Callithrix jacchus: one gene and its partner. The protein of the gene in region 1 interacts with the protein of each later gene in a biochemical or structural test. Links are inferred from orthologs where the notes say so. Each region holds a gene or a part of one and is shown on either strand. Other genes may lie near its edges. The genes, in order: TRDN and CASQ2.

Evidence for each region.
Region 2: the proteins of TRDN (region 1) and CASQ2 form a complex in vitro, tested with the Homo sapiens proteins (3 studies listed by BioGRID). The link is inferred for Callithrix jacchus from reciprocal best matches to the Homo sapiens genes TRDN and CASQ2.

Annotation. Positions count from the first base shown.
Region 1 is NC_133505.1:130,109,990-130,122,928, reverse strand, and holds part of TRDN (triadin), read left to right. Parts: intron 1-4,807; coding exon 4,808-5,017; intron 5,018-12,939. UniProt on the Homo sapiens protein: Contributes to the regulation of lumenal Ca2+ release via the sarcoplasmic reticulum calcium release channels RYR1 and RYR2, a key step in triggering skeletal and heart muscle contraction.
Region 2 is NC_133508.1:153,732,393-153,745,331, reverse strand, and holds part of CASQ2 (calsequestrin-2), read left to right. Parts: intron 1-4,556; coding exon 4,557-4,641; intron 4,642-8,355; coding exon 8,356-8,456; intron 8,457-10,466; coding exon 10,467-10,578; intron 10,579-12,939. UniProt on the Homo sapiens protein: Calsequestrin is a high-capacity, moderate affinity, calcium-binding protein and thus acts as an internal calcium store in muscle. Calcium ions are bound by clusters of acidic residues at the protein surface, especially at the interface between subunits.

The DNA of each region.
Region 1 (12,939 bases):
AAGAAAAAATAAAATCCTTTGCGAACAAGCAAGTACTCAGAGATTTTGTCACCACCAGGCCTGCTTTACAAGAGCTCCTGAAAGAGACCCTACACATAGAAAGGAACAACCAGTACCAGCCATTCCAAAATCACACTAAATGCTAAAGAGCATCAACATAATGAAGAATCTACAACAACTAACGGCCAAAACAGCCAGCTAGTATCAAAATGGCAGTATCAAATTCACACATAACAATATTAACCCTAAATGTAAATGGATTAAAAGCACCAATCAAAAGACACAGACTGGCAAATTGGATAAAAAGCCAAAACCCTTCGGTGTGCTGTATCCAGGAAACCCATCTCACGTGCAAGGATACACAAAGGCTCAAAATAAAGGGACGAAGGAAGATTTACCAAGCAAATGGAGAGCAAAAAAAAGCAGGAGTTGCAATTCTCATCTCTGATAAAATGGACTTTAAAGCAACAAAGATCAAAAGAGACAAAGAGGGCCATTACATAATAGTAAAAGGATCGATACAACAAGAGGAGCTAACGATCCTAAACATATATGGACCCAACACAGTAGCACCCAGATACATAAGGCAAGTTCTTAATGACCTACAAAAAGACATAGACTCCCACACAATAATAGTGGGAGACTTTAACACTCCACTGTCAATATTAGACAGATCAACCAGACAGAAAATCAATAAGGATATTCAGGGCTTGAACTCAGAACTGGAGCAAGCAAACCTGATAGACATTTACAGAACTCTCCACCCCAAATCCACAGAATATACATTCTTCTCAGTACCACATCACACCTACTCTAAAATTGACCACATAATTGGAAGTAAAGCACTCTTCAGCAAATGCAAAACAACTGAAGTCATAACAAACAGCCTCTCAGACCATAGTACAATCAAGTTAGAACTCAGAATTGAGAAACCAACCCAGAACTGCACAGCTTCATGGAAACTGAACAACTGGCTCTTGAATGTTGACTGGATAAACAATGAAATGAAGGCAGAAATAAAGAAGTTCTTTGAAATCAATGAGAATGAAGACACAACATGCCAGAATCTCTGGGACACATTTAAAGCAGTCTCTAGAGGAAAGTATATAGCAATAAGTGCCCATATGAGGAGAATGGAGAGATCCAAAATTGACACCCTATCATCAAAATTGAAGGAGCTAGAGGAACAAGATCAAAAAAACTCAAAACCCAGCAGAAGACAAGAAATAACTAAGATCAGAGCTGAACTGAAGGAGATTGAGACACGAAAAAGCCTTCAAAAAATCAATAAATCCAAGAGCTGGTTTTTTGAAAAGATCAACAAAATAGACAGACCACTAGCCAGATTGATTAAAAATAAAAGAGAGAACAACCAAATAGATGCAATAAAAAATGATAAAGGGGAAATCATCACAGATTCCACAGAAATTCAAACCATCATCAGAGAATATTACAAACAACTCTATGCGCATAAACTAGTAAACCTGGAAGAAATGGATAAATTCCTGGACTCCTGTGTTCTCCCAAGCCTAAACCAGGAGGAAGCTGAAACTATGAATAGACCAATAACAAGGGTAGAAGTCGAGGCAGCAATTAAGAGCCTACCACACAAAAAAAGCCCAGGTCCAGATGGGTTCACAGCTGAATTCTACCAGACACACAAAGAGGAGCTGGTACCATTCCTTCTGAAACTATTCCAAATAATCCAAAAAGAGGGAATCCTTCCCAAATCATTTTATGAGACCAATATCATCCTGATATCAAACCCGGCAGAGACCCAACAAGAAAAGGAAACTTCAGGCCAATATCCATGATGAACATAGATGCAAAAATCTTCAATAAAATATTGGCAAGCCGATTGCAACAGCAAATCAAAAAACTTATTCATCATGATCAAGTAGGATTCATCCCGGGGATGCAAGGCTGGTTCAACATACGCAAGTCTATCAACGTAATTCACCACATAAACAGAACCAAAAACAAAAACCACATGATTATCTCAATTGACGCAGAGAAGGCATTCGACAAAATTCAACAGCCCTTTATGCTAAAAACCCTCAATAAACTCGGTATCGATGGAACGTATCTCAAAGTAATAAAAGCTATTTATGACAAACCAACAGCCAATATCATACTGAATGGGCAAAAACTAGAAGCATTCCCTTTGAAATTCGGCACTAGATAAGGATGCCCTCTTTCACCACTCCTATTCAATATAGTACTGGAAGTACTAGCCAGAACAATCAGGCAAGAAAAAGAAATAAAGGGTATTCAAATAGGAAAGGTGGAAGCCAAATTGTCTCTATTTGCAGACGACATGATAGTATACCTAGAAGACCCCATCGCCTCAGCCCAAAAACTCCTGAAACTGATAAGTAACTTCAGCAAAGTCTCAGGATATAAAATCAATGTGCAAAAATCACAAGCATTCCTCTACACCAATAACAGACTTAAAGAAAGCCAAATCAAGAACAAACTGCCATTCACAATTGCTACAAAAAGAATAAAATACCTAGGAATACAACTTACAAGGAACGTAAGGGACCTCTTTAAGGAAAACTACAAACCACTGCTCAACGAAATAAGAGAGGACACAAACAGATGGAGAAACATTCCATGTTCATGGTTGGGAAGAATTAATATCGTGAAAATGGCTATACTGCCCAAAGTAATTTACAGAATCAATGCTATCCCCATCAAGCTACCATTGACTTTCTTCACAGAACTGGAAAAAACCACCATGAACTTCATATGGAGCCAAAAGAGAGCCCACATAGCCAAGTCAATTCTAAACAAAAAGAACACAGCGGGGGGCATCACACTACAAGATTTCAACCTATACTACAAGGCTACCATAATCAAAACAGCATGGTACTGGTACCAAAACAGAGATATAGACCAATGGAACAAAACAGAGGCATCGGAGGCAACACAACATATCTACAGCCATACAATCTTTGGTAAACCTGACAAAAACAAGCAATGGGGAAAGGATTCCCTGTTTAACAAATGGTGTTGGGAAAACTGGCTAGCCATGTGCAGAAAGCAGAAACTGGACCCCTTCCTGACACCTTACACTAAAATTAACTCCAGATGGATTAAAGACTTAAACATAAGACCTGGCACCATAAAAACCCTAGAAGGAAATCTAGGCAAAACCATCCAGGACATAAGAGTGGCTAGGACTTCATGAACAAAACACCATAAGCATTGGCAACAAAAGCCAAAATAGACAAATGGGAACTAATCAAACTCCACAGCTTCTGCACGGCAAAAGAAACAGTCACTAGAGTGAATCAGCAACCAACAGAATGGGAAAAAATGTTTGCAGTTTACCCATCTGACAAAGGGCTGATATCCAGAATTTACAAAGAACTCAAACAGATTTACAGGAGAAAACCAAACAAGCCCATTCAAAATTGGGCAAAGGATATGAACAGACACTTTACGAAAGAAGACATATATGAGGCCAACAAACATATGAAAAAATGCTCATCGTCACTTGTCATCAGAGAGATGCAAATCAAAATCACATTGAGATACCATCTCACGCCAGTTAGAATGGCGATCATTAAAAAATCTGGAGACAACAGATGCTGGAGAGGATGTGGAGAAAAAGGAACACTTTTACACTGTGGGTGGGAGTGTAAATTAGTTCAACCATTGTGGAAGACAGTGTGGCGATTCCTCAAGGCCTTAGAAATAGAAATTCCATTTGACCCAGCAATCCCATTACTGGGCATATATCCAAAGGACTATAAATCGTTCTACTATAAGGACACATGCACACGAATGTTCATTGCAGCACTGTTTACAATAGCAAAGACCTGGAATCAACCCAAATGCCCAATGATAGACTGGATTGGGAAAATGTGGCACATATACACCATGGAATATTATGCAGCAATCAAAAATGATGAGTTTGCGTCGTTTGTAGGGACATGGATGAATCTAGAGAACATCATTCTCAGCAAACTGACACAAGAACAGAAAATGAAACACCACATATTCTCACTCATAGGTGGGTGATGAAAAATGAGAACACATGGACACAGAGAGGGGAGTACTAATCACTGGGGTCTATTGGGGGGAAAAGGGGAGGGCCAGTGGGAGGGGAAGGTGGGGAGGGATAGCCTGGGGAGAAAAGCCAAATGTGGGTGAAGGGGAGAAAGGAAGCAAAACACACTGCCATGTGTGTACCTATGCAACTGTATTGCATGTTCTGCACATGTACCCCAAAACCTAAAATGCAATAAAAAATTAACAAATAATCATAATAAAAATAAAAATATATATTATCTCTTTATTTTATTTTTATAATTTTTGAATTTTCTCTCATGAACATGTGGACCCAAAATCAGAAATAAAAGAGTTACTGGGTATAGAAAGATTTTCTAACCTCATTCTCTTAGATCTTCTGTGTCCCTACAAACAAACAAACAAACAAACATGAATGACCTCATTAGATGACCTCACTAGATGGGTCAGTTATGCAATTAAGTTAAAATATTCAAAAGTTTTATCCATTTAAACCATTTTATCACTCATTTTGATTTTCCCCTCACAGGACTTGGGAGATGAGAAATGCTGATTATATGAGCAAATGAGTTTGAAGGTGAACAGCAAATGCTGAAAAAAAGATAATGGGCTAGTAGTGGTCACAGAGGCTTTGTACTGCCACAAAAGAGTGGTGTCTGCTCTAGAAAGTGGTATAAACAGGTTCAACCCTCTTACAGTTAGTGTTTCTTGTCATCAATATTTAACGTGAATTTCTAAATTATATTTTCCTTCCTGAATGTTTGATTAGGAAATGCATCTACAACCACAACTGTCATAGACAGCAAAAATGGATCTGTGCCCAAATCCCCTGGAAAAGTGCTGAAGAGGACAGTCACAGAAGACATAGTGACGACATTCAGCTCCCCTGCAGCCTGGCTTCTGGTCATTGCCCTGATAATCACGTGGTCAGCTGTTGCCGTCGTTATGTTTGATTTAGTGGATTACAAAAACTTTTCAGGTAAGATCCATGAAATTTGGCTTTAAAATTAAAAGTAATTTAAATTGAAAGAAACAATGCTCCCTCTAAGTTCTGGCTGGGTTTCCCTTTCATCTCAGTGTGAGAAAGAAGGCATCGCACATATATGCTTGAGGATCATTGAAATCTGTTTTATTCTTCTCCCTTTCCTTCCATTCTGTTTGTCTGTTGTACTTATGACTTCCAATGAAATTGATATCCTCAATTGCAAGAGCTGAACAAAGGCTGAATGTTGCAGTTCATATAGTAGTTAAAAAGCTTGGGTGAAGATTTTATTTTGGAACTGGTACTTTATGAAGCGTAATAAGGAATAATTTGTAGGTTTTACACTTGGCAATATAAAATCAAACCAAAAGAAAACTTGACCAAATGGAGAATATTTTAAGGTCTTTTTAAGCCCCTCTGTCATCTGGTCCTAAGCTTCCTTGCTAGACAAATTCTTTGCTTCTCCCGCCAAGCCATCCTACATAGAGTTCCTGAAAATAGAGTTTTTCACAAAATAACATGTAATGAGATATTACATCTTCAGTGTCCACATGTTCTTATGACTTTGGAGTAAAATAGGACTAACACAAAGTAGAAAAGACAGATGTTCATTATAGCCTACCAACTCTTTGAGTATATTGCTCATTTTTTTTGGTCAAAGATATTTTACATATTTTAAACAGTATTTATCTATTTTCACATACGACACACTCTATTGACAGTGAATTCCTTAGGAAAGGAATCAGCCAAGTGCTCAGTAAATGTTAAATGACTAGATGAGTGAATTTATTCTCATCACCCTTTTACCACAAGCAAAAAATATTTCATTAACCTTTTAATGTGTTCTTTCATATATACTCTCCCCTCTCCTTTTTTCTTTCTCCAACAGAAGTAGAATCAGTAGGTCCCAGATACTATGAATACTATTATTTACATTCTATATATTCAGGGATCTCCTATTTCTCATTATGGAATTTTACTCATTCAACAATTACTTATCAAGTGTTTATGTGTCAGGAAATGGCTATGGCACAGATGTGAAGAAGAAATGTGATATAAAATTATGAAAATATAGAACTCTGTTATATGGGTTTATTGGCATAAAGGTGTAATATCGTTTGGATATGTGTCCCCTCTAATCTCATGATGAATTACAATCCCCAGTGCTGGAGATAGGCCTAGCAGGAGGTGACTGGATCATGGGGATGAACTTTTAGTGAATGGTTTGTCACTGTCCCCTTGGTGCTGTCCTCACAATTGTGAGTTCTCGTACGATCTGGTTGTTTTAGTGTGTGGCACCTGCCCCCTCTACTCTCTCCCTCTTGCTTCTTCTCTGGCCATATGATATGCTTGTTCCTTTTTCTTCTCCTTCCACCACTATTGTGAGCTAAGCCCCTCCAGAATCCAAGCAGATGCCAGCATCATGCTTCCTGTACAGCCTGCATAACTGTGAACCAATTAAAGATCTTTTGTTTATAAATTACCCAGTCTTAAGTATTTCTTTATAGCAATGCAAGAACAGCTTAATACAGAAAATTGGTAATAAGAGTGGGGTATTGCTATAAAGATACGTGAAAATGTGGAAGCAGCTTTGAAAGTGCGTAATGGGCAGAGGTTTGAAGAGTTTGGATTTCTCAAAAGAAGATAGGAAGAGGAAGGAAAGATTGAAACTGCTTAGCAACTGGTTAAATCGTTGAGACCAAAATGCTGATAGTGATATGGACAGTGAAGTCCAAGCTGAAGAAGTATCAGATAGAAATGAGGAACGTATTGGAGACCAGATCAAAGTTTACGCATTTTATGCCTTAGCAAAGATCTTGGATACATTCTGTTCATGCCCTAAGAATCTGTAGAAGTATGAACCTGAGCGTAATGACCTAGTGTATCTGCTGGAAGAAATATCTAAGCAGCAAAACATTCAAGATGTAGCCTGGCTGTTTCTAACAACCTGATCTAAGATGTGGGAACCAAAAAAACGACTTAAGTGGGGCCATGCTTGGTATCCCATGCCTGTAATCCCAGCACTTAAGAAGGCCTAGACGGGCGGATCACGAGGTCAGGAGATCAAGACCATTCTGGCTAACATGGTGAAACCCCGTCTCTACTAAAAATACAAAAAAAAAAAAAAAAAATTAGCCAGGCATTGTGTCACACCTGTAGTCCCAGCTGCTCAGGAAGCTGAGGCAGGGGAATTGCTTGAACCCTTGTGGTGGAGGATGCCGTGAGCCAAGATCATGACACTGCACTATAGCCTAGGTGACAGAGCCAGACTTGGTCTCAAAAAAAAAAAAGACTTAAAGTGGAATTTCTCTTTAAAGAGGATGAAGAGTATAAAAATTTGGAAAATTTGCAGCCTCACCATGTGGCAAAAAGAGAAAAAGCTTTTTTGAGAAAGGAACTCAAGCAGACTGGAAGCTTTTTTGAGAGAGAAATTCAAGCAGGCTGTGGAGCAACCATTTGCTAGAGAAATTTGCATAAAAAGAAGCAAAGTGCTGATGATAGCCAAGAAAATGGGAAAAAGGCCTTGAAGGGATTTCAGAGGTCTTTGCAGGAGTATTTCTCATCATAGACCCAGAGGTCCAGGAGAGAAGAATGATTTCCTCTGCCAGGCCCAGAACCCTGCTGCCCTGGTCAGCCCCAGAAGTGTGCTGTCTACATTCTCCCTGCTCTAGGTCCAGCTGTGGCTTAAAAGGCCACAGATGCAGATCAGGCTGCCACTCCACAGGGCACAAGCCATAAGGCTTGGTGGCTTTCACGTGATGTTAAACCTGCAGCCATGCAGAGTGCAAGAGTAAAAGAGGCTTGGAAGCCTCCACCTAGATTTCAGAGGATATTGGAAAGCCTAGGTGCCCAGGCAGAAGTTTGTTGCAGTGGCAGAGCCCTCACAGAGAACCTCTACTAGGGCAATGCAGGGGGAAAATGTGTGACTGGGGGACACACGCAGATTCCTCACTGGGGCATTGCCTAGTGGAGCTGTGGGAAGGGGCCACTGTCCTCCAGACCCCAGAATGACAGATCCACTGGCAGCTTCCACCTTGCACTTAAAAAAGCTGTACGCAGTTAACAATGTGTGAAAGCAGCCTCCAGGGCTGAACCCTGCAAAGTCACAGGTGTAGAGCTGCCCAATTCCTTGGGAGCCCACCCCTCATATCAGTGTGCCCAGGATGTGGGTCATGGAGTGAAATTTTATTTTGGAAACTTAAGATTTAATGGCTGCCCTGTGGGGTTTCAACTTACATGAGGCCTTAGCTCCTTTCCTTGAGCTGATGTCTCCTTTTTGGAACAGGAATGTTTACCCAATGCCTGTACTTTCATTGTACCCTGGAAGTAAATGACTTGTTTTGATTTTATAGGCTCATGGAAGGAAGGAATTTATTTCCAGATGCGACTTTGGACTTTAAAGTTAATGCTAGAATGAATTAAGGCTTTGAGAGACTATTGGTAGGGGGTGATTGTATTTTTCAGTGAAAGAAGACAATGAGATTTGAGGAGCCAGGGATAAAATAATATAGTTTGGATATATGTCCCATCTAATTGCATGTCAAATTGTAATCCCCAGTGTTGGAGGTGAGGTCTCTTGGGCTATTATTGTTTAATAGAGGTGGATTTTTGATGACTGATTTGGCAAATTCCCTTGGTGCTTTCCTCACAATAGTGAAGGAGATCTTGTGAGATTTGATTTTTTAAGTATGTAGCACCCCCTCACCCTCACTATCTCTCTTGGTCTTCCTCTGGCCATCCATGTGATCTGCTTGCTACCCCTTTGCTTTAACTTCCACCATGATTGTAAGCCCCCTGAAGCATTACCAAAAGCTGAGTATATGCCAGTGCCATGTTTCTGTATTGATTGCAGAACTGTGAGCCAATTAAACTGCTTTTCTTTATAAATTACCCAGTCTCAGATATTTCTTTATAGCAATGCAAGAAAGACCTAATACAAGGTGTGAATGAGATGAGTCTGCCAGCAGATCATTGGTAGCTAGAACTAAAATGGGCATCATCTAACTAGTAGAGCTAAGTCCCATGATGTCAGCAAAAGAAAAAGGGCTATTTATCCAGAGTCATAAATAGGCAATACACAATTTATTGTGTGTTAGAGGCTCTTAATATATATATATATATAGTTGAAATGTCTATAATGTAAAATTATGACCTAGAGTTTTAAGTAAAAAACACTTGGTTATCTTACTCTATGAAATTTTATTTTCCTTGAGCTTGCATTGACTAAATTATTTCCCTGTCAGATGAAATGCCAGTAACATAGGCATTGTCCAGAGAAATTAATTGTAGTGGTCCAGTGGAAACTCTACTGGGAACTATAAGTATGCCTTATATTTAAGTAATCTAATCTAAAAATCTAATTATAGGTTGCCATGCATTTTATAAAATAAGAACAAATTCCTTTCAATGATAATTTCTGTAGTATACTTGTACAATTTTTAACTTGACAAACATTTGATTTATATGCAATTCTTGAAATATGTGTATTACAAAAATGAAAGAACTGTATAAATTATGGCTTCAATAACAGTCTCAAAATGTAAATTATACTCTCATATTTTAATGTCAATTTTAATAAACACAATTCAAACTTTTGCTAAGGATTAATATTGTCATGATGAATCTTTAGTGCTAGGTGATAATCTTTGAAATATGTAATTGTTAATATTTACAAAAGAAGGTTAGTGGTGAAGAAAGTGTGCCAGAAATGATTTGGAAGGCCAGAAAGTGAAGCCAGCTGCCACTGGGTCTTCAGTTGATCTCTGAAACTTGAGAAAAGTAGGTAAATGCTGTGAAGCCATGAAAAGTTTGTTCATAGAGAAATAGAAATCTGTTTTCATAAGCATGTACTATACTGGATTGAGAAGAATTCTCTTCTGGGCAACCTTTACATTCCCTATTTTCAGAATTATATCTGATTTATGCATATATTTTCTACTAGTGCAGGAAATGCAGAATTGGCTTTTATTTGGGCTTCATTTAGATGATTTGGGTTCATTGTTCAGCTCTATGAACCTACAAGCTAACATGACTAGGAACTTATATTTTCTTGTCTGTGAAATGGGGATAACATCTTGCTCTCTATTCTGCAAAATTTTGACTTTGATTCTTCTTATCAAATGAGACAAATTTTAGGGCACCAAATAAACAGACTGGAAAAGATATTTCACCTATGCCACATTTCTTACTTAATATAACATCCAAATAATATTGATATGTATCTGTCAATGTTTGACACAGTTGCCAAAAGCTACTCTGATTTAGATAGAATAAGGGTTTATTATATGGTTTACAAATTCACGGCAGCTGATCAATCTATGTAAGGCTGTTGCAGTGCATCTGGTGTTGAGTGAAAAGTAGTCAGGGTGGAAATTGGGAAGGCAAAATGGATAGAATGGGAGGGACTAAGGACAAACTGAAACTGACAAAAACAAACTGGAGGACTTGTTTGTCTCTTACCAACACAAATTACGATTATGCAGATGAGCTGCAGGAAAAATTGATGCCTTTCCCCCACGGAACTGCAGGCGCGCTTGACCGGGATTTGGAGATGCTGAAGGAGCCAGCCCAGTGTGCACTGGAGATGTGGCGGCTGTTGCCTCACAACAAGGGCAACTAGACTCTCTGTGATCATGAGCTGCAAAAGCATCTGCCCTACACCAACCTTCAGATAACAATGGCTTCATTATTAATAAACAATGGCTTCATTATTACCATATTTGTGCTTTCCAAAACTTGTAGCAATTTCTTGTCTCCAACTGTTATCTGAAAACATGCATGTAAGGGAATTCTGGAAAAGAGTTCCAGCTTTGTGTATTGACGGTGAACAAGCCTTCATATGGGACAACTATATAATTTAACAACTGAAATGGGATACTTGTGAGAGTGAAATGGAGAGCAATTAAGATTTACCTCAGGATATCAGGGACAAACCAAGATGTATAATCACTCTGTTATCCATATTGACTTTAGTTCTTTCCTCAAAGAAGAATGTTTTCAAAACCCTAAGTGGGAATTGGGGGACAGAGAAACATTATTATCTTAGTAATTGGGGTTAGGGAGTTACAAAGGCTGCTGGAGATCTTCCCCCAAGCTTCTGCAGACTCAGCCAGAAAGACCCCCTTCTCAGAAAATGGAGGGGTGCCTGATAATGTATTCTGGTCTTCTGGGGCCAAAATTTGTAAGCTTTGGTTTAAATTTTTACAAATTTCTTTTGTTTTATTTATGAAGTGACAACTTTCTTTCTAAACAATCAGAAGTTCAAACAAATAGGATGTATAAAGAAATCACTACAAACTATGGCATTAGTGGATGTTGATAATTTTCCTCTAGGTCAGAATGTACAGCAATAGAGTGTGGTAACTCTTAGCTTTTCATGCCTAAGTACGAGGATCATCATTTATTAGCACCCTCATCCAGGAGAGGAAAACATTATTATATGGTTGTACCACTGTGTCTTAAAGAGTATCTGGTAATTTTTGCAAGCATTCCACAAAATATACCTATTTCAAATCAATTTTGTAAGACTTAAATACAATAATCTATGTAAAACATAACGTGCCTTGCACATTGGAGGGACTCATTAAATGTAACTTGAATTTGAATCTTATTACTAGGAAGTAACAACAGTAATCTGAGAAGAGAGCCAGCAAGGACATGATGGTAGGAAGCATCAATTTCTTATGAAAAGACTTGCAGACATCTCCTGATGTGCCTTTTAAATAGATTTTCTAATGAGGTGTGCCATTTATCTACTGCTCTTGGAAATTAATTTTCCTGACTTTTTTTCTTTTCTTGGCACTTAGCCCAGTTAAGCAGGTGCACTGTGTGTCAGGCTACAAGCTTAGCAGAGTAAAATCATTTAGGGAAGGCCCAAAGTCAGTCAGAAAGTATAAATTTAACATTTAATTTTACACACACACACACACAAATATGTTAATACTTTTAGGAAACATGGAAGACTGAAACACTAAATGCAACATTTTAGACTCTATCAACTCTTACGTGTACTGAGTTTTCAAGAAGCACATTTCGAGCGTTTCTTACTCTGATTCAAATCTTATCTCAAATCCTGCATTTTCTGCTCACTGCCCCAGGCCTATTTGGTTCTCTTGGTCATTACACCTAAAAAGATGCATTTTACTACCCAACTTCAGTCTGTCTATGAGTACCTGAAGGAAGCAAAGAGTTCTATAATTCAGTATTTCCCAGACTCTAATAAAAAGTGTATTGATTCTTCATGAAATGAGGAAAAAGATAAAGAAAAAATTTTATTCATTTTTAAAAAGTGTTCTAATTCTTAGATTATATTTTTCCTACATCTGTCATCTTAAAATTCTCTTTTGACATTGTGGTAAAACCAGATATTGTTTTTATAATTGTTTTTAAATGTGAATTTTGCAAAATAAAAAGTTGGCAGTTCTATATCACATCTCCAGATTTTGGTTAGTGGTGGATTTCAGGGTCAAGAAATCTAAAAGTCTGAAATCAATGCTCTATACCACTCATTTGGACCTTGACAAATAAGCTCTCATATTGGTATTTATGAATTTATCTGTAAAAATTAATGTAGTTATAAATTGCACCAGATGTTATTATACCCTACTTTTATATTTGTTACATATCCTACTTTTTGAAAGCCTGGTCATTGCAAATCAGTGTTATGTAGTGCTCTGCTTAAAGGTACTTCTATAAAGAAACCTTTCCTGAACCTCCAATGAAAAGCAAGTTACCTTATCATTAATTTCTCATCATATTATTTACTGTTTTATTATAAAACTTATTATAAAATATATGTTTAATTGGGTGTAATTTTTTGATATCTCTCTTCTCCACTGATTTGTTAGGTTTGTATGGAAAATACTTTGTCTATTTCATTTAATTGATTTTTCTAGTGCTTAGAACTTTGCACAAAGTAT
Region 2 (12,939 bases), on another chromosome or scaffold:
AATCCAACAGCACATCAAAAAGCTTATCCACCATGATCAAGTAGGCTTCATCCCAGGAATGCAAGGCTGGTTCAACATATGCAAGTCTATAAACGTAATTCACCACATAAACAGAAGCAAAGGCAAAAACCACTTGATTATCTCAATAGATGCAGAGAAGGCTTTTGACAAAATTCAACAGCTCTTTATGCTAAAATCTCTCAGTAAACTAGGTATTGATGGAACGTATCTCAAAACAATAAAAGCTATTTACAAGAAACCCACAGTCAATATCATACTGAATGGGAAAAGACTAGAAGCATTCCCTTTAAAAACTGGCAGTAGACTCTCACCACTCCTATTCAATATGGTACTGGAAGTTCTAGCCAGAGCAATCAGGCAAGAAGAAGAAATAAAACACATTCAATTAGGTAAAGAAGTCAAATTGTCCCTATTTGCAGATGACAATATCATATATTTAGAAGACCCCATCGTCCCAGCCCAAAACTTCCTTAATCTGATAAGCAACTTTAGCAAAGTCTCAGGATACAAAATCAATGTGCAGAAATGACAAGCATTCCTATACATCAATAACAGACAAACAGAGAGCCAAATCATTAGCAAACTCCCATTTACAATTGCTACAAAGAGAATAAAATACCTAGGAATGCAACTAACAAAGGATGTAAAGGACCTCTTCAAGGAGAGCTACAAACCACTGATCAAGGAAATAAGAGAGGACACAAACAGATGGAAAAACATTCCATGCTCATGGTTAGGAAGAATCAATATTGTGAAAATGGCCATACTACCCAAAGTAATTTATAGATTCGATGCTGTTCCCATCAAGCTACCATTGACCTTCTTCACAGAACTGGAAAAACCCATCTTAAACTTCATATGGAACCAAAAAAGAGCCCACATAGCCAAGACAATCCTAAGCAAAAAGAACAAAGCTGGAGGCATCATGTTACCTGACTTCAAACTATACTACAAGGCTACAGTAATCAAAACAGCATGGTACTGGTACCACAACAGAGATACAGACCAATGGAACAGAACAGAGGCTTCAAAAGCAAAGCCATACATCTACAACCATTTGATCATTGACAAACCTGACAAAAACAAGCAATGGGGAAAGGATTCCCTGTTGAATAAATGTTGGGAAAACTGGCTAGCCATATGCAGGAAGCTGAAACTGGACCCCTTCCTTACATCTTATACAAAAATTAACTCTAAATGGATTATAAGATTTAAACATAAGAACTAACACCATAAAAACCCTAGAAGAAAACCTAGGCTACACCATTCAGGACATAAGTACAGACAAGGACTTTATGACTAAACCACCAAAAGCAATGGCAACAAAATCCAAAATAGACAAGTGCAATCTAGTTAAACTTAAGGTTCTGCACAGCAAAAGAAACAATCATTAGAGTAAACTGGCAACCAACAGAATGGGAAAAAAATTTTGCAATCTACCCATCAGACAAAGGGCTAACATCCAGAATATACAAAGAACTAAAGCAGATTTACAAAAAAAAAAACCAAACAAGCCCATTCAAAAGTGGGTGAAGGACATGAACAGACACTTTTCAAAAGAAGACAAATATGCGGCCAACAAACATATGTAAAGATGCTCATCAACACTGATCATTACAGAAATGAAAATCAAAACCACATCGAGATACCATCTCATGCCAGTTAGAATGGCGATCATTAAAAAATCTGGAGACAACAGATGCTGGAGAGGATGTGGAGAAATAGGAACACTTTTACGCTGTTGGTGGGAGTGTAAATTAGTTCAACCATTGTGGAAGACAGTGTGGCAATTCCTGTCTAAAGGACCTAAAAATAGAAATTCCATTTGACCTAGCAATCCCATTACTGGGTATATACCCAAAGGATTATAAATCATTCTACTATAAGGACACATGCACATTTATGGTCATTGTGATGCTGTTTATGATAGCAAAGACCTGGAAGCAACCCCAATGCCCATCGATGATAGACTGGACAAGGAAAATGTGGTACATATGCACCATGGAATACTATGCAGCCATAAAAAAACGACGAGTTTGTGTCCTTTGTAGAGACATGGATGAATCTAGAAACTATCATTCTCAGCAAACTGACACAAGAACAGAAAAGCAGATACTAAATGTCTTCACTTGTAGGCGGGTGATGAACAATGAGAACACTTGGGCACGGGGAAGGGAACAACACTCACAGGGCTAGGTTAGGAAATGGAGGGGAGGGCAGGGGATGTGGAGGGAGAGTGAAGGGGACTGGGAGGATGGGGAGGGATAACACCGGGAGAAATGCCTGTTGCAGGTGACAGGTGGCGGGGGTGGATGGAGACAGCAATCCACCATGGCATGTATCTACCTATGCAACAATCCTGCAGGATGCAGGATGTGCACATGTACCCCAGAGCCTAAATACAATTAAAAAAATAAATAAAGAAAAAAATGATATGTTATGAATGTGTATTAATTTTATCAGCCAAGAAAAGTAATAAAATAATTTTTCAAATGTTTAAAAAAAGATGAAAAGATTATGATATTGAATGTTTGCAACACACGAAAAATGATAAATGTTTGAGGTGATAGGCATGCTAATTAACCTGATCTGATCACTATACATTACATGGATCACAACATCACTCTGTACCCTATGAATATGTACAATTGTTACTTGTCAAATAAAAAAAGAAGATGAAATGACACAACTATGGAGTGAAAGAAAATACTTATAAACCATATATCTGAAAAAGGACTGCTATTAAAAAAAAAACTCTCAAAATTCAACAACCAAAAAGCAATCCAGTTAAAAAATGAGCAAAAGATGTGAACAGGCATTTCATAGAAGAGAACATACATATGGCAAATACGCACATTTAAAAATGCTCAACATTGTTAGCCATTAGGAAAATGCAAATTAAAACCACAATGAGATAGTACTACATACCTGTCAGAATGACTGAAATGAAAAATGCTTATGTTACCAAGTCCTGATAAAGATGTGGAAAAACTAGATCATTCATACCTTGCTCATGGGAAGGTGAAATAATACAGCTACTCTGAAAAATAGTTTTGCAGCTTCTTTAAAAACTAAACATGTGACTACCATACAACCCAGTAATTATACTACTAGACATTTATCTCAGGGAAACTAAGACTCAAAAACCTGTACACAAGGTTTATAGCAGCTCTATTCATACTAACCAATAACTGGGAACAACCCAGACACCCTTCAATGAGTGAATGATTCAACCGACTATGGTACACTCATGCCATAGAATCCCATAAAATAAAAAAGCAATAAAAAAGAAATGATGTAGTGATACATGTAACAACCTGATGAATCTCTACATAATTAAACTGAGCGAAAAAAGTCAGTCTCAAAAGGTTACATACTCTATGATTCCATTTATGTAACATTCTTGAAATGACAAAAATTATAGGAATGGAGAACAAATTAGTGGTTGCCCAGGGTTAAAGAGGGGATGGGGACACAAACCAGTGGGTCTGACCATGAAGGACAACAGAGGGATCCTTGTGGCGATGGAAATGTTTTGTATCTTAACTGTATCAATGTCAATATCCAATTTGTGACGTTGTACCTCTGTTTTGCAAGATGTTACTATTGAGGGAAACTAGATGCAATGTGCAAGATAGCTCTCTGTATCATTTCTCACAATTACACATTAATCTGCAATTATCATTTTTTAAAGTTTAACTTAAAAAAAAAGCAATATTAATATTTCATGATCTGTCTAGTAGCATCTCCATTCTGTTTCCGTTTCAAGCCCCTGCTCAAACAGATGGCAAGAATTAGCTATCAGTCCTGAAGTAGCAAGTACACCCAACTTGCTCATATCTACGTTTCAGGAAGCTTGACATAATGCCAGCCTTGTGCTGGGTGTCACCATCTATGCTGGTGTCTACCCAGAGTAGTTTTCATCTATCTGTCCGTCCAAGACAGTGCTGCATCCTCCTGGCCTTTGGAGCTGAACCCCTGACCCCCGATACTCTACCAGTCTTACTGTGCTGCAGGAAACCTTGAGAGGACATCTCAGGTCTACTCACCCAGTGAGCATTCCTACTTCACAAGCCCAGGAGTCGGGGAAGTGAGGGGATGCTTGGATATTGAGGACATAAGACTCCTTTATTCTTAAGTCCTCTTGTGTTCCCACTCTATTCCAGGTACATTTGGCAGCTAGAGAAGGGCTCAGGGTCTCTTATCAATCATCCATGCTTCCTGATTCTTCTCTCTCCTGATCCAGATTTTTTCTACTCCGAGGGCAGAAAATGGTGTGTAATAGTGGATATATTCTTCCAAATGTTCTGTCTTAGGCCTGCTCCTCAGATGCTTCCTCTTGATTCTCAGCATTCTCCTAAATCATCCTCCTTAGGGGACACGAATACATTTCCTTTGCTGCGGTTGACTTGGTCACACAGTAGTAGAAAGTATAGAGAAAAACCCTTCCGTTGATGTATGAGGATAGTAATCCTGTAGTATTTCCTACCATCTTTCTGCCCTTAGCGCATTTATCTTTCCATTTGTTCCTTCAGCTTGTGGCCCAGGTCCTTGAACATAAAGCTATAGGCTTTGTGATGGTGGATGCCAAGAAAGAAGCCAAGCTTGCCAAGAAACTGGGTGAGTGTGACTTTTCAGATACAGTATCTCTTACACTATGTGGGAAAGAAACGAATGTGTCTTGCAAAAAGAATAGTGCAGTTGCAATGACTCTTGCATGAGCGAACTGTCTTTAAAGATATGTTACATGATCCTGCATGCCTTCGTCTTTGGCCGGAGAAGGGTTTTATAAAGGTAAACACAGGCCTGAATTGCATGGTTTCACATGAGTCATGTAAGCGATTGTTGTATCAGTACAATGAAGAAGACTTCTTCCTGGAGAAACACGCTCAAGAGTCAAGCTTTTGCTTGCAGCTTCCACAGCAAGCTGAAAGGCCAGCTTCTCTTGTCTCACCACTGTGGTCATCTCTCTCAGAGAGTTAAAAAACCCTCTTCTTTCATCACAGATTATTTCGTTGCCTTGCGACTGAAGCAGCCAACAAAACATAGTATTCATGGTAATAATGCCAGGGTAACGGTGCTTTTTAAATGTAAGGCTAACGCCCAGCTGGGCTTTATCACTGAGGACGAGAGGGAGGACAGAGGTGAGGATTAGTTAAGCGACCACATAATGGAAGTTGTGCTCTCCTGTGTCAATACGTCACACTTAAGTGCAGTGCACTTCAAGATTCACAGCCTCGCGATCTCAAAGAGAGAGAATGTTGGTAGCTCCTCCGGTTTTCTTTTCCTTTCTTTTCTCTTTTCTTTTTTTCCTTCCTTCCTTCCTTCTTTCTTTTTCTTTTCTTTTCTTTTTTTTTTTTTTTTTTTTTTTTGAGTCAGGGTCTCTTCTTACTCTGTCACCCAGGCTGGAGTGCAGTGGTGTGATCTTGGCTCATTGCAACCTCTGCCTCCTGGAATCAAATGATTCTTGTGCCTCAGCCTCTCAAGTAGCTGAGATTACAGTCACATGCCACCACACTTGGCTCATTTTTTTGTATTTTTAGTAGAGACAGGGTTTCATCATGTTGGCCAGGTGGGTCTTGAACTCCTAACCTTGAATGATCTGCCTGCCTTGGCCTCGCAAAATGCTGGGATTACAGGTGTGAGCCACCACTCCTGGCCTGTTCCCCTGATTTTCACACACTGACACACATGTACTGCCCATTTGGCTTTTTCTGCATGATCAGTGAAGAATGGCTGTTTAAAAAAAACAGCAGGTTATAAAACAGGACCTTTGAAGAAAGGTTAATCAGATTTGGAGTAGTAAGTACAGGAAAAAAAAAAAGTTAGTGGTGGTCCAATACAGGCCTTCAGGTACATGAAAGTCCATTATCCTGCAAAATTACAGACAACTGTTTCCTGTTTTATTTTCAAGAAGACCAGTCATTTTCAAAAAAGATTTAAATTATAGGAGACTATTTAGGTTAGACGTAAGAAAGAATTCATGACTATAAAATTATAATGAGTTATTAAGAATGTCTGGGCACTTTGGGAGGACAAGGGCAGAGGACTGCTTGAGCCCAGGAGTTTGAGACCAGCTTGGGCAACTCAGTGAAACCTCATCTTTACAAAAAATTTAAAAATTCACCAGGCATCGTGGCATGTGCCTGTAGTGTCAGCTACTTGGGATGAGAGGATGGCTTGAGCCAGGGAGGTCAAGATTGCAGTCACTTCCACCTGCATGATTCTGCCACTGCACTCCAGCCTGGGCAACAAAGTGAGACTCTGCCCCAAAATAAATACATAAATAAATAAAGCCTGGGATGCCTCTTTCCCTAAAGACATATTAAGGGATATTTTTCTCCCTCGAATATGGGAGCAAAATATGTTAAATTCTTTCCCTAGAGTTAAAAACAATTTAATGAATTCTGCCTCCTCCCCCAACAGTCTCTTGATTCCTCTTCTGCCTTCCTATTGCTTCATGAGAAGCTAAGTTTGGGAGAATTTCCAGCAAATTTAGTTACATAAAAAGCTAGTGTCCCAGTGATCAAAACATTTTGGGTGGACAAGTTGAGCAAGTATACATAAAAATAGACTGGCAAAGAATATGAGGGGCTTGATACATTGAAACAAACTTTTCTCCAAGCTCAGCTTGAAAGAGTTGGGGCAGGTTCCTTCTTGCTGTTTAGTCCCTGGTTTACAGGACAGCGGAGGTATTTTGTGAACCTGCTTCTTCATCTTCATTCCTCTTCCCTTTGCCTTATTTTGGCCTCTGTCAGATTGTGCCTGAACAACTGCAGCAGCCTTCTAACTGTGGTTTTGCCCAAGACAAAATCTGACAGCAGGATACTGGCTAATGCTCCCTAGGGCACCTTTTGAGATCAGCCATCACTGACATCAAGAAAATCTGGCAGAACCGGACACGATGTCCCATGCCTGTAATCCCAGCGCGTTGAGACCAACCTGGGCAACATAGCCAGACCTTGTCTCTTAAAAAAAAAAAAAAATTAGCCAGCATGGTAGCACATGCCTGTAGTCTCAGCTCCTCAAGAGGCTGAGGCAGGAGCTGTGATCATGGCCCAGCAATCCAACCTGGGTGACAGAGGGAAACCATGTCTCAAAAAGCAAAAACCAAACAAACAAAAAAGAATACCTGGCATGTTGCTCCTTTTGATTTACAAATGGTGCCCCCACCATTTCCCCCCATGTGCCAGGGGCTCCTTATACATCATCTATGGCTTTGGACGCAACAGGCAGCAGTCCAGCCTTCCTGTCCCTGGAAGTTCTGCAGAAGAGTTCATTGGGAGAAAACATTCTCCAGCTAATAGTTTTAAAACAGTCTAAAGAATTAAGGATGCCATGCAGTTGGACCAAACGCCAGCTTTGGCTATTTAACATTCCTGGGGAGAAAAATACAGTTTTCCAACAAGCATTTGTTATGGTACACAACATCAGACCAAGGGTGTGCCACAAGGCAGAAAAATAAGAAGATGCTGAGCCTGTCCTTGTCATACCTACTAGCCAACCGGGTAAAGAAGATGTGTGGGATTCAACCGGAACGGGAAGCAAGCTGTCCATCCTGGCCGCACGCATTAGCAGGGTGCTAATACACCCAGGCGCCGTACGAGGCACTGAGATACCAGTGACAATGATCCCACCCTCAGAGAACTCACTGTGATAGTGAAGGCCTGTAAATTGAGTTAAGGAAAGATCAATAACGGTATGGGCTCAGTGAGACTGAGGTGACCTTTCTTAAGAAAAATGAATCCTAATCTGAGACCTGAAGAAGCTAATCAAGACGGAGGTCATTCCAAGCTGGGGAACAAGGAAAACATAAGTCTGGAGAATAATGCTCTGTGACTTTCCTGCCACCCACCCTTTCATATAAGCAAGTGGGAAGGAAGCACAGGGAGTTGCACAAGGGACAAGAGAGCAGTTCTCAAAGGAGCATGGGTCTACCCAAGGGAGAATGAAAGGGACAGAATTGGAACCAGATTTTGGAGGGACTTTAATGCAAGGCTAAGGAGCCAGGTGGGCGGTGGCCACTAAAACTCTTTGATAAGGAGAATGACACGAGATCAGCTGTAGTTTTGGAAAACTAAAGCAGTGGTGGGGTGGAGAATAGACTTTTAAGTTGAAATCCAGGTGGAATTTTTCTTGACTATTTCCAATTAAATGTCCACTTCAGGAGCTCTTCAAAAGTGTTATTTTAGGGGAATTGATTCTTGGGTTAATGCTGGTTCCACGAATCCTGAACCCACTGTCACCCAGAAACCCTGAGCCAGACCTCAGCCAATGCAATGTCTCGTCCTACATCAGGATGACCCTCTCTGTGGGCCTCTTTGTTTCTCACAGGTTTTGACGAAGAAGGAAGCCTGTATATTCTTAAGGGTGATCGCACAATAGAGTTTGATGGCGAGTTTGCAGCTGATGTCTTGGTGGAGTTCCTCTTGGATGTAAGCATTTATGCACAGTGACCCTGCATGGAGCTGTCTCTGCTCCAATATATGGAGATAGAACCTCAAAGAACAGAAAAGCCAGAGAACCTGACCTCGTCTGTGACAGGATTTTCAGGATTCACAAAAAAACTAAGGAGCACCTATATTATTGCACTGTCTACTGGGAAGCTGATCTTTAAGTCACCCTAGAAACTGCTGGGGACCATATAGTAGTAATATGCTAATTCTCTTACCAGTGATACATATTAAAATTTCCTTGGCTTTGCTCCACTACTGCTGAAGAGGAGCTGGGAAATGTGGGGAGAGAGGGGGATAACCAGAGAGGGGGGACAGGAGTATCAATCAGCCAGGTCACCCTGAGTTAACTACCCTCAGAGCAACACAGAGAAGTGGCAGAGCTAATGAGCCTCCCGATATCACACTCATTTTCAGCCATGAACTTACCACACACTCATATCCATATGCTCAGAGAAACAGAGGAACAAGCATTATAAAAATATTTCAACCATAGATAAACTCACACTTTCAGTAACTGCTGTGAAGTCCAATGCTTTGAACACATGTTCTTGCATAGATAAAGGACCTGCTGTTGAACATCCGTGCCGACCATTCCTTATCTATCAGCTAGAACTCGGTGGTCTATAGTTCTTTCTCTACAGTGTCAAAAACCAGAGGGAAGGTCAGAAGTGAGTTGGAAGCTACGTCTTACCAAAACCGTGCCATCTCATGACCCATTGTGCTTGGCCATCTCATTGACCCACACCCACAAGCCCTAAAACAGTTGAGGGGGTGACAACTCTGGGACAACATGGTGCTGCCCCAGCCTGATCAGCTAGGAGGAGGCTTTTGGAAATAAGACTGACCACGTCAAACAGTAAACAAGGCGACTGACTCAGATAAATAGAAGCCTCCATTAGGGCAGACTTTACCCTTCATCAAATCCAGACACTGGCTCCATTTTTCTCTGTAAATCACAGATAACTCTGTTTTCAGTATGTTGCCTGTGTCCTCAAGCTGACGATTCTCAATGTGAGCTATAAGATGGCCAGAGCAGGAACCAGCACATCACATTTCCTCATTCATGTTCCATGACAGAAAAAACAAATTTGGCTTCCCATTGCCCTTTTAAGTGTAAAGAGCTTCTCCCAAAGCCTTCAGCAAATCTGTCCTTATTGGGCTAGTTACTTGCCTATTCCTCAATCAATAACTGGCAAGGGAAGTTATGAGATCCACCTAAATATCCAGCAGATGAATGGATAAAGAACGTGTAGTATATACACAAACGAATAATATTCCAAATGACATTTCTTGAAAAAAAGGAAGAAATGTCATTTGGAACTATACAGGTGGAATTGGAGAACATTATGCTAATTGAAATAACCGAGGCACGGAAAGACTAATAGCACATGTTCTCACCTATGATATGTGGAATCACAGAAGCAGAGACTGGATGGGGGCTGGGAAATGGAGAGATGATGGTAAAAGAGTGCAAAGCCTCAGTTAGACAGGAGGAATACGATTCATTCTTTGAGATATATTGTAGAGCATGGTGAATATAACAAATAATATGTATTACACATTTCAAAATTACTAAAAGAGTAAATTTCAAATGCTCTCACCACAAAAAATGACGGATAAGTTAATTAGCTTGATTTAATTATTTCACCTTGTATTTATAGATCATAGCAACACTTTATATCCAATAAATACAAGTATAATTTATCAATTTACAATTAAAAACTGGTTTTTAAAACTGGCAGAAGGAATAGGTTGCCCCCACCAATCATCTCATTCTTTGAGCTAAGGTCTAGTCCTCAGAAGGTACTGCCGTATGCTCACTGGGGGTTTGTGGGGAGAGCAGAATAGGTATTTGAGGCACCACCCACAAAGTCTGCTACGACTTCCCTCCAACACACTCTATTTTCCCAGTGGAGAAGGAAATCTCTTGTTTGAACATATTTTTGTGTGTGTGTGTGTGTGTGTGTGTGTGTGTGTGTGGCATTTCAGCTAATTGAAGACCCAGTGGAGATCATCAGCAGCAAACTGGAAGTCCAAGCCTTCGAACGCATTGAGGACCAGATCAAACTCATTGGCTTTTTCAAGAGTGAGGACTCAGAATGTAAGTTGTCTGCCAACCCCAACCTATCAGTCTAAAGGCTAGATTTCCAATAAGGTACCTCAAAAGGGATGGGTCTTCAGCACCTCTTTTGCTGGGTAGAATTCCCTCCTGAGCCTAACACTGTGGAGCACATGTGCAAAAGTTATACAAAACAGTCAGGAAAGCTGAAAGAATATTAAGGTGGGGCCAGGTTCTCTGGCTTTAAAGCAGGCTGAGTGGTCTACAGAAGGGAGAAAAGCCCTTCTTCACTTTTCCTGCCCACCCACCCCTCAGTCGGATTCTCCCCGACAATGGGACAAGCAACGGGCTATCTCCCTGGCATTGGCAGCTCCTCTGGTCACCAGATGGAGAACTTCGCAGTCAATTGGAAAGCATGAGTGGAAAATTGGGGTAGGGATGGGTTTAGTAGCTGCTACAGAGTGTGAAAAATCGCTGGCCAAGGCTGTAGCTGACCACCAAGGCTGCCTGCCGTAGTGCAGCCACACCCTTGGGCATATCCCTTGGAAAGCTTTGTGACCAGGTTTCGGGTGGACACAAGGACTTATGATAGCATCAGCACAGCACAGCCCATATAGAGATGAGAGGGTGGTGGGGGTGAGTCAGGAAGATCAGGAAGAAGGGACCAGGAGGAGTTAGACTTAAGTACTGTACATATTTAAAAACTGCTTTGGCAGCGTGGGTCCAATGAAGTAGGCTTTTTTTTTTTTTTTTCCAGTGTCTCAGCCTTGGAGAGAGAAAAAGCCTTAGAGGGGGTGAACAGAACTCTGGTAGCATTCATACAAGTAGGAAGTGCAAGCGTGGGCTGCTTATGACTATTTCTGGGAACCCCAAAATATTCTGAAGTTGTTTCCAAGCCCATTTCTTTAACCAGTCTGCCTGCTAGTATCCTTAGTCACCTCTTCAACAACCCATTCCTTTGCTGTCTCCCACGCCCCAACTTAACCCTGTCCTCATTTGCTTCCTTCAAACCTCCGTTTACAGTGCTTAAAATGAATATGCTAGAGGGAGGTAGCTAGCCAGGAAGATTTGCCCCAGTTCGTCTTCAAGCGACTTTATTTTAGTTTGTACATTTGCGTATCAGTGCTGACTGCTCTGGGGTGCTTCTCCTGCCCCTTCTTTTTCAGTTCCTCCACCTCAATTTGTTTCCATCTTTACATTTCTCTATCCTCTTCATCCATGTAGCTCAGGATGGCAGATAAATGGGAGGCAAAGCCAAGGTTAGGATAGAGAGCACACCTCCCAGTACCTTTCTTTCCCACCTGGATGAACAATCATAATAATACTAATTAACACATTTCATATGCCAGGGCCTATGCTAGGAGCTTCTATGGATGCCTTAATTTCATTCTCACAGCAAGCCTGTGAGGTGGTTATCATTATCATCTGCTTGTTACTGATGATGGAAGGATGGAACTGAAAGGTGCAATTCACCTGCCCATTATCACACAGCTAGTAAATAGTGGAGCCAAGACTGAGATCCTCGGAATGTGACTTTAGGGTTTATACACTTAACTACTGGGCTATATTTTCAAGACTTTGTAAACTTAGGTCATTGCACATATAAAATGCGATAATGCTTGTAGAGTATAAAATGGAAGTAAACATGAAGGAATTGGGCTTCGTGAAAAAATTAACTTTGCAGTGTACAATAAGAAAATATCATGAAATATATTACACATTGCATTGTAAAATTTTTCCAATTAAAAAAAAATTTGAATGAGAATGTTATGCTTACTTCAAGAATATAGCTGTTTTTTGAGATCTAGTTTTTCTCTGTTGCCCAGGCTAGAGTGCAGTGGCATGATCTCAGCTCACTGCAACCTGTGCCTCCTGGGATTAAGTTATTCTCCTGACTCAGCTTCCTGAGGATTATAGGTGCCCGCCAAAACGCCTGGCTAATTTTAGTATTTTTAGTAGAGATGGAATTTCACCAGCTTGGTCAGGCTTGGACTTGAACTCCTGACCTCAAGTGATCCACCCGCCTTAATCTCCGAAAGTGCTGAGATTACAGGCATTAGCCACCATGTCCAGCCTAGAATATAGCTTTTAGATATTAGCTTTTATGTTTAAATAACAACATGAAATTCCTTATCCAGATTTTAAATGACGATCTCTTCAAATTCTTAATGATCACCATCGACAAGAGACTTCACTTGTATATGTGGATGGTGACAAAAGGGAGGATAATATCCATTGCTTTTTCTTTTCATTTCTTTTTTTTTTTTTTTGAGACTGAGTTTCACTCTTGTTGCCAACGCTGTAGTGCAGTGGCGCAGTCTCAGCTCACTGTAACCTCTGCCTCCCTGGTTAATGTGAATTTCCTGCCTCAGCCTCCTGGGTAGCTGGGACTACAGTCACCTG